Linked DNA regions of Xenopus tropicalis. The protein of the gene in region 2 interacts with the protein of the main gene of each other region in a biochemical or structural test. Links are inferred from orthologs where the notes say so. Each region holds a gene or a part of one and is shown on either strand. Other genes may lie near its edges.

Evidence for each region. The genes of interacting proteins can lie anywhere in the genome.
Region 1: the proteins of irak1 (region 2) and irf7 form a complex in vitro, tested with the Homo sapiens proteins (2 studies listed by BioGRID, with this or other methods). The link is inferred for Xenopus tropicalis from reciprocal best matches to the Homo sapiens genes IRAK1 and IRF7.

Annotation. Positions count from the first base shown.
Region 1 is NC_030680.2:34,535,155-34,539,567, reverse strand, and holds the start of irf7 (interferon regulatory factor 7), read left to right. Parts: upstream 1-1,595; 5' UTR 1,596-1,665; intron 1,666-4,413.
Region 2 is NC_030684.2:32,188,353-32,192,002, reverse strand, and holds part of irak1 (interleukin-1 receptor-associated kinase 1), read left to right. Parts: intron 1-761; coding exon 762-935; intron 936-1,812; coding exon 1,813-1,968; intron 1,969-2,442; coding exon 2,443-2,564; intron 2,565-3,650.

The DNA of each region.
Region 1 (4,413 bases), on a different chromosome or scaffold from region 2:
CTGCTGAATTGCGCTTAGTACAGGGGAATATCTATGCTGCCATAGTTTTATGGTATCTCTCTGTACAGGCTATGAGCAAACTTAGGGGGCTGCTCCTGCTGAATTGTGCTGCTTTCTAAGTGGCAAGGGGAAGTACTGCACAAGGTAGAACATTTAAACTTATGTCATTGCTCCCCTTTCCCTCCTGCTGGATAGTCAGCAGAGCTTTGTGAGATTATACCAGTGATCCCCAATTAGTGGCTCAGGGGCAACAAGTTGCTCCCAGTGACCTCAAAGTAGGTGCCATTTTTACATTTCTGGCTTGGAGGCAAGTTTGGAAGCACAGAGACAGTTTTACTCAAATCAGAGCCTCCCGCAGGCATGCAGTCCACATGGGGCTACCCAATAGCCCATGACAGTCCATATTTGGCATCCCCAATAAAACCTTTTCATGATTGTGTAGCTCCCCAACATTTTTTATATCTGAGTTTGGCTCATGAGTAAAAAAGGTTGAGGATCCCTACTGATTACACATGTTTTCTTTTGTAGTTTCATGCTCATCTTTTTCTTTCACTAATCCACAGGGACCCTTTATTAATGAGGTGCTAAATTGCTCCTGTCCCTTTCTACATATTACATGTACATATTCTACAAATTTTCTTGTTTATCAATACTCTTCCCTTCTCCTTTGCACTGTTGTGTTTATTCTGCTGTAGTTTCTAAAGCTGGCCATACACGCACCGATAATATCGTACGAAACCCCGTTTCGTACGATATTCGGTGCGTGTATGGCAAGTCGGTGAGTTGACCGATATTGCAGGAGGCTGCTGATATCGGTCGACTCGCCGATCGGGCCGGTTTAAAGATTTTGATCGGACGCCATAGAATGCGCCTGAGCAAAATCAGTCTTTGGGGCTGAATCGGCAGAAGGAGGTAGAAATCCTATTGTTTCTACCTCCTTATCTGCCATTTCAGTCCTGAACGGTTAGTGGCAGGTTGTACGATCTTTCATGCGACTGATGGTCGCACGAAAGATCTAAAATCGCCACGTGTGGCCACCTTAACTCACATTATCTGTTTCCTCCCCATTTTGATTTCTTCTCTACTAGTTTTCTGTTCTCTCTTTTTTCTGCATTCTGTGCTTTTCTTCTTTTCCTCTCAGAAGTTGTTTTCCTGCTCTCCTTCCCCCTCTACATTTCTCTTTCTCCCCTTGCAGTATTCTTCTTAACATTCAAGGAAAAAAAAAAGCTGTGCACAGAATGCTATTTAAATTTTAACTGTGTTAAGCTTAGCTTAATTAATCTACTAGAATTAGTTAGCTGCTCTGTGGGAAACGGCCCCGCCCCCTCCCCTCTCAGTTCCCATGTCTGTGGGTGACGGGGGGTAAATGTTCCTCAGTTCTTCAATGGTGGGGGGTCCCCACTGGCACATGGCCCAATTGGATCCAATCGCCCTGGGACCGTCCCTGGTGTCACATGACTTCTAGGAAAAGGCGGGCTGCTTGGTATCACACACAGACCTCTCTCGGTGTGCAGTGTGTATCATAGCTTCCACGGACATTCCCTGGGACACTGTGATTGGTTTTTCATTGAAACGTCAGTGGTGGGCGGGGCTAGCTTAGTATGTAGGGACAGGACTAGAGCCTTATGACTGGTAGAGAGCTTGGAGCGGAGTTGCTTCACTAAGGTAAAATAACACAAGTGGCTTTGCGCTCGGGCAGTTAGTGAGGGGTCATTAGTTGTTGTCACATAGCTGAGCCGGGATTACCTGGTGCATCTATATGGCTGCAATAGCGTATTTTACTTTATTTATTGCCTTGCCTTACACAATAACGACATATACTTTGACTTATGAAAGGGCTGTTGGTTCTGTAGTTCTGTCTGAGTCCTTTTTTACTTCCCAGCTGTTAAAGGACAACTACACCCTCGAACTATTTGCATAGTGAAAGAAAAAGCACTTTTTAGATGGAGATACTAATGCATTTGAGTAATTTTGTCGTGCAGAGATGTGGGGCTTGCACATAAATGCAGTTATGGAGGGCATAGCCTTACAGGAGAAGCAGCTATCGGAATTGTTTTGCACTTTTATCTTGTACTAATGTAAAAATGTTTTTCCAGTCGACCTGCAGTTTAGCCAGTGATTAGGTGCCACCTAGAGGCATAAATGGGGATTGATAGCCTCGCTGCTAAACCTTATCAATTATTGGTCATTTCTTGTCACGTACACACACTTGTGCAGGTATGGGACCTCTTTTCCAAAATGCTCAGAAATACAGAAATGTCAGTTTCCATTATTTTCTGATTAATTTTGTGCTCTGTAATAACACAGAACCTTGTACTCGATGGTAACTAAGCTGCATGAATCCATATTGGTGCAGCCAGCCTTTATTATTGATTTGTTTGTAAGCATTTAGTCACCTTTAGGAATGAAGCTTCAAATTTGGGAAAGCCCAGGTCTCAAGCATTCTGAATAATAGGTACTATACCTGCAATGGTAGTGTAAGTGACACTGTTTTAATGAATGTACCTGTAGTTTGTCAAACTAACATTTAAAGTCTCAAGACCAGGGATCCCCAAACTCTTTTACTCGTTGGGCCACACTCAGAGTTGGGGAGCCACACAAATTAGTTCTTTGGGGATTCCAAATAAGACCTGTGATTGGCTATTTGGTAGCCCCTATGTGCACTGCTGGCCTGTTTTGAGTAAGGCTGATGCCACACTTGGCGTAGGGCTGATTTTTTCTGCAAACGGAAAAACGCTTGCCGAAAATCAGCCCTGCGCCTTCTACTTGTGCCTGCACCCGAATGAATGGAATACGCTCGGGTGCAGGCACATGTAGCCGATATACGCATGAAAACGTGAGACTTTGCATTCTCGCGCGTTTTCATGCGTATATCGGCTACATGTGCCTGCACCCGAGCGTATTCCATTCATTCGAGTGCAGGCACAAGTAGCAGGCGTAGGGCTGAATTTTCGGCAAGCGTTTTACCGCTTGCCGAAAAAATCAGCCCTACGCCATGTGTGGCATCAGCCTAAAGCTCTATAAAAAAAGTTTCTATGCTTCCAAAACTTGCCTCCAAGCCAGAAATGTTAAAATGGGCACCTACTTTTCTGCCACTGGGAGCAACATTAAAGGGGGTGACAAGCAACATGTTGTTCACGAGCCACTGGTTGGGGATCACTGCTCTAGACTAAATATGAATATTTCTCTACTAAAGGTTTATATGATTTGAAACTCTAGCCTTGGCAGGCAGGGGAAACAGTGTAGCAGGCACATAATGCTCAATATGCACTGTTTGAGTAAACATTGGCAGTCTATATGTGATTTTTATCTGACCAAATACATCCTGTGCCATGAATTATGTCACTGTGATGTTTGCATGTAAATCTGAGTCAGTGCTTATGGAGGAAATGCCATCACAAAGCACACAGCATGCTACTGCCTGTAGGCGTTTGTTATTATTCAGTATGTTGTAAATCAGTTGCACCATAGAGATTTTGTTTTAGAACTGGCTGCCATCTGTACCTAGTGGCAGATTGGAAATTTGCTACTAGGTGCAAGCGAGGTGCTGTTGGGCACAAACCCTGCCCTTACCATCTGCTGTACAGTGCTCCATTCTGCTGCCATCATTCTCAGCATTCAATGGCATACAAATTAGAGAATGAGTAGGGGTGGCAGAGAACACCAATACACCCTCCTCTCACCCCCTGCTGTTGAACATAGGCAGCAGGGTATTCTTGGGGCACACGCAGGTCTGTATGTTCCATTTTGGAAATGCGTGGCATCGCAAGTTGCAAAGTGATTTAAACATGGCCCCCAGTGTTTAGTAGGCCTTTTATATCAAGCTGGAACAACTATCCCTAAAGAGAGAAGAGGGCTGCAACACCATCCCTTAGCTGCCTACAATGCCTTTTATATCTTTACCCCAGTGGTTTTATAACAATTCACATTTAGTCATTTAACTAACAAAAGGAGCACCTGTCTGAATTGCTTTAACTGGATCTTACTCGCACACCTCAGTAAGGTTCAGTTTATGCCTGAAGAAGTTCAGCTGAACCACTGTGTGTGGTGTGGCTACCAGAGCCTTTACTCCGGAAGGGGTAAACAATACTATTATTTGTCAGAAAACTGTATTGTAGATGCTCTGCCCCCCCTGCACTGTGCATATAATGCATGTGCCCTAACTTACTCATTGTGTAATTGATCCTTCGTCATACATATATGTATAACGAACAAGCAGGGGCAGTTGCTCTTTATGCACATGTGTGCCCCAACATAGTTGCCAAGGGGTGGGTGATGTCCGTCTTAAGTATGGTTTTCTCTCGTATTAATATTCTATATAGATAGGGCCTGTAAGGAAGTGCTGTAACAATTATCTTTAGTACAAAGGGTTATTTAGCAGCTGTTATTTCGGCATATTAAAAGGTAAATGGT
Region 2 (3,650 bases):
AGCTAAAACAAGTATAAAGTATGAGAGTCTCAGAAAGTGGAGGCAATGCTGTTGGGAGTAAATCTTTGGAAAAGTGGGGGCAATTGTTTATAATCGCTAACCTCAGGCTGGCCTCTCCTTTGTTGAATAATGCATTTAGCCCTGTGTTCAGTTCTTATAAGTGCCGCTATCTTGCCTCCTGTCTCAGCACCCTTGCAACTGCCCTGGGTGGGGGGTGAGGAGGTTATAGATTGCCAGTAGTGATGAGCACATTTTTTCAGCAGGCATAGATTCTCATGGAAATTCTGCATTTGGCCATTGACCAATTTTTTTTTGTGAAACTGGGGCAAAATTTTGCCACAAAAAAAAGTCACTGAGACAAAATTGCTGGTGCCTGGTTGCAGGTCCAAAAAGTGTTGAATATACTGGAGGAAGGGTCAGCACTCACAGGACTTTTTGTATAAGACCTGCAAGTGCTGACTCTTCCTCCAGTATATATATATGTAAGTCCTCAGAACAGCACCTCACTTCAATCACGCTACAGTGTAGCTGCCCTCGTGCGCGGAAATATAATATACATATAAAAATAAATCACAGCCAGCACCAAGAATTGTGTAGTTCAACAACTTCATGTATTATTATTGCATGTATACAATAATTGTTGTACATGCAATTTTAATACACAAAGTTGTTGAACTACAAGACCCTTGGTGCTGGCTGCGATTTATATATTTATTAGGCTTTTGTTTCACTTCTTTATCTCCTTTTCCTTTCCACTCCAGCTTCCATGATCATTCCAGACATGACTGAACTCCGGCTCCTGGAGCAGCAGGGATCTCGCTCTCGCACCGAGGAAGTCGTGTGGGCGTGGAGTAATAGAAATGCAGTGGTTGGGGAACTGCTGTCTATCCTCAGATCATTAAACCTGTTACGGGCCCTTGATGTCTTTGAATCCTGTGAGTCCTTATTTAGTATGTATGTATATTTTATTCGTATAGCACTACTTGTGTACGCCGCACTGTACATCAGTAATCATTCTATAATGCACAAAAGCCATGAATATCCTGCAAATTATGCTTACTGATGTCATTTCTCTCACATGACTTACTGAAACTTGTGTATTAGAATAAATATTATACCCAATGAGATATCAGAAGTCACCTCGAGTTCCATACCCTGTATAAAAGCACCTGGCTTTGGCCTTGTGCCTTTATATGGTCATGGAAGAGCTCAGCGACTTATAATATTTATAATTTTATAACATGTGCTTCATTATTCATTATATAAATGTGACCTCTTTAGCCATTCCATCAGTAATACAGAATCATATAGACACAGACCATAGATTATAAAAAAAAAACACACACCGTTTCCTATGAGGGTTTAGGAAGTGCTAGAAGCAGAGTTTGCCCAAGACCCGTTATCCATTGTTGGTAGCAATCGGATGCTTTCTTGTAACTTCCCAAGACAAAAGGCAAATGCTGTTTTGCTACTTTGAGTTACAGGACAACATACTTATTATGACATAAACTCTCAGTCTTTTATTTTGGGGTATGACATTACAGTCTGATAGAGCCCTAAGGGGACATTTTACCACCACAGCCAGTTGGACATAGAACCCCCATTCATTTAAGGTACCCTGCGTCAATGGGCACAGCACTTGATCCCTATATAGCTGCATGAGACAAGGGATTATTTGCATGGCTTCATATTACCAACCTTATATGACCCTAGCTACTTGGAGTAACAATTTTGTTTTTTTATAGAATTGTAGAAATACTGCTTGTTACTTCAACTGTGTAATCTAATGTACTTTTTTGTTCTTTGCTTTAGGGAGATCAAGATACGTGCCAGAGAGTACACAGAACTTCTCTCAGGCAAACCCTTTGCCTCCTCCATATCCGTATCCAGGCCCTGAAAGCGCACCCTATTTCCAGAAGCCCCAGACAAAAACTGACAGCCTACAGACACAGGCTACTAATCCCTCAGGTATCTTCTCAGTATAAAGCTGGCCATACACGTGGCGATCTCACGATGTTTCGTACGACCGTCGGTCGCACGAAACATCGTCAGATCCGCCACACACCATTCAGGGCTGAATCGGCAGGTAAGGAGGTAGAAACAATAGGATTTCTACCTCCTTCTGCCGATTCAGCTCTGAAGGGAGAATTTTGGTCAGGCGCCTTCTATGGCGCCCGATCAAAATTTTCTAACTTGGCCGATCGGCGAGCCGACCGATTTCAGCAGCTTCCTGCGATATCGGTCGGCTCGCTGACATGCCATACACGCACCGATTATCGTACGAAACGAGGTTTCGTACGATAATATCGGTGCGTGTATGGCCACCTTAACACTTTGTGGCTTTGTCAGTAACTGAGATGTGTGCTCTCTTTGTGTCCTTTCATTTTATATCCAACAACATACACTTTACGGCACTAACTCATTTTTCCTTTGCTGCCCTAGACCTACCTCAGCAATTGCCTCTTCCCGGGCCCCCTCCAAAAGCATTTATCTGCTCTTCCCACAGCGCCAGCACAGGGGGCAGCAGTGATTGCTCTGGCAGCCAAATCCATTCTTCTGTGCAGGTACAGTGTCTTATTTAAAGGGGTTGTAAAGTCAAAAACTAGAAGCCTGGTCCAAGGTTCTCCATAAAAGAACAAACCAATTTCCAACATACATTCATTAAAAGTTCTGCACTATTGAAAAAGCTAAAAAAAAAAAAACTATATTTATCAAAAAATTTTATGGAATTTTCAATTAATTTTCATTATACATTCCAGTGTGTGCTTCCCCTCAGATCAGATTGCAGATTCCTCAGCATCAAACCACTTAGTCTGTAAGCAATTACTGGGGCATGTGGGGTTTCCTGCTGCTGGGCTGTTTGTATATTATTTGAGGCACAGGGAAAGTACAGGACTTTCATGGCTGTGAGCTGATTATTGGTTCCTACAGCAGCTTATAGCAAGCTTGTATACATTGCTTAGGTCAGGGTTAGCTGTAATAGTGGTGTTCATGGAGTGTGAACAGGCCGTGCCTACGTTGCATGTCAAATGTGTAGCCACATGTGACTCATTAGATGTCATTTTGTAACTGCCCTGTTCCGTCTGCACTTTTAAATGACACAGTTAGGGAACAAGTAGAGTGCAGGAGTAGGGACATCTATATGCTTCCCCCCTTCCCCATACAGCACTGACCAATGCAGTCTGCTCTGAATCCTAGGGGAAGGTGGCAGATCTCTGTGCTTTAAATACTGCAGGGACCTGTGGCAGTACAAGTAAGGCAGAAAGCAGAGGGAATAGTGCAGAAAAATGGCCCATTTTTTTTTTTTTTTTTGCACTTCTGCATTCTGCATTTTAAATGTCCCCTAGTGACTCCCAGCTTTAAAGAATAAGTAAACTTTAAAAAAAAGTAAATGTAAAATCGCTCAAGGTTCTTTTCTAAGCACTTCTGTGATTTACATTCATTATTTTATTCAGTTTCACAGCTATTTTTAAAAAATTTTATCCGCCACCTGCTGGCCACTTCCTGTAACTGTACCGTCAGATATCTTTCAGAAGGAAAACAGAGAAGTGTTCTGATGTTGCTCTGCTCAGGAAGGAAATGGGAATGGGCAGGGCCGCCATCAGAAATTACGGGGCCCCTCACAAAAAAAATTTCTGGGCCCCCCCTCC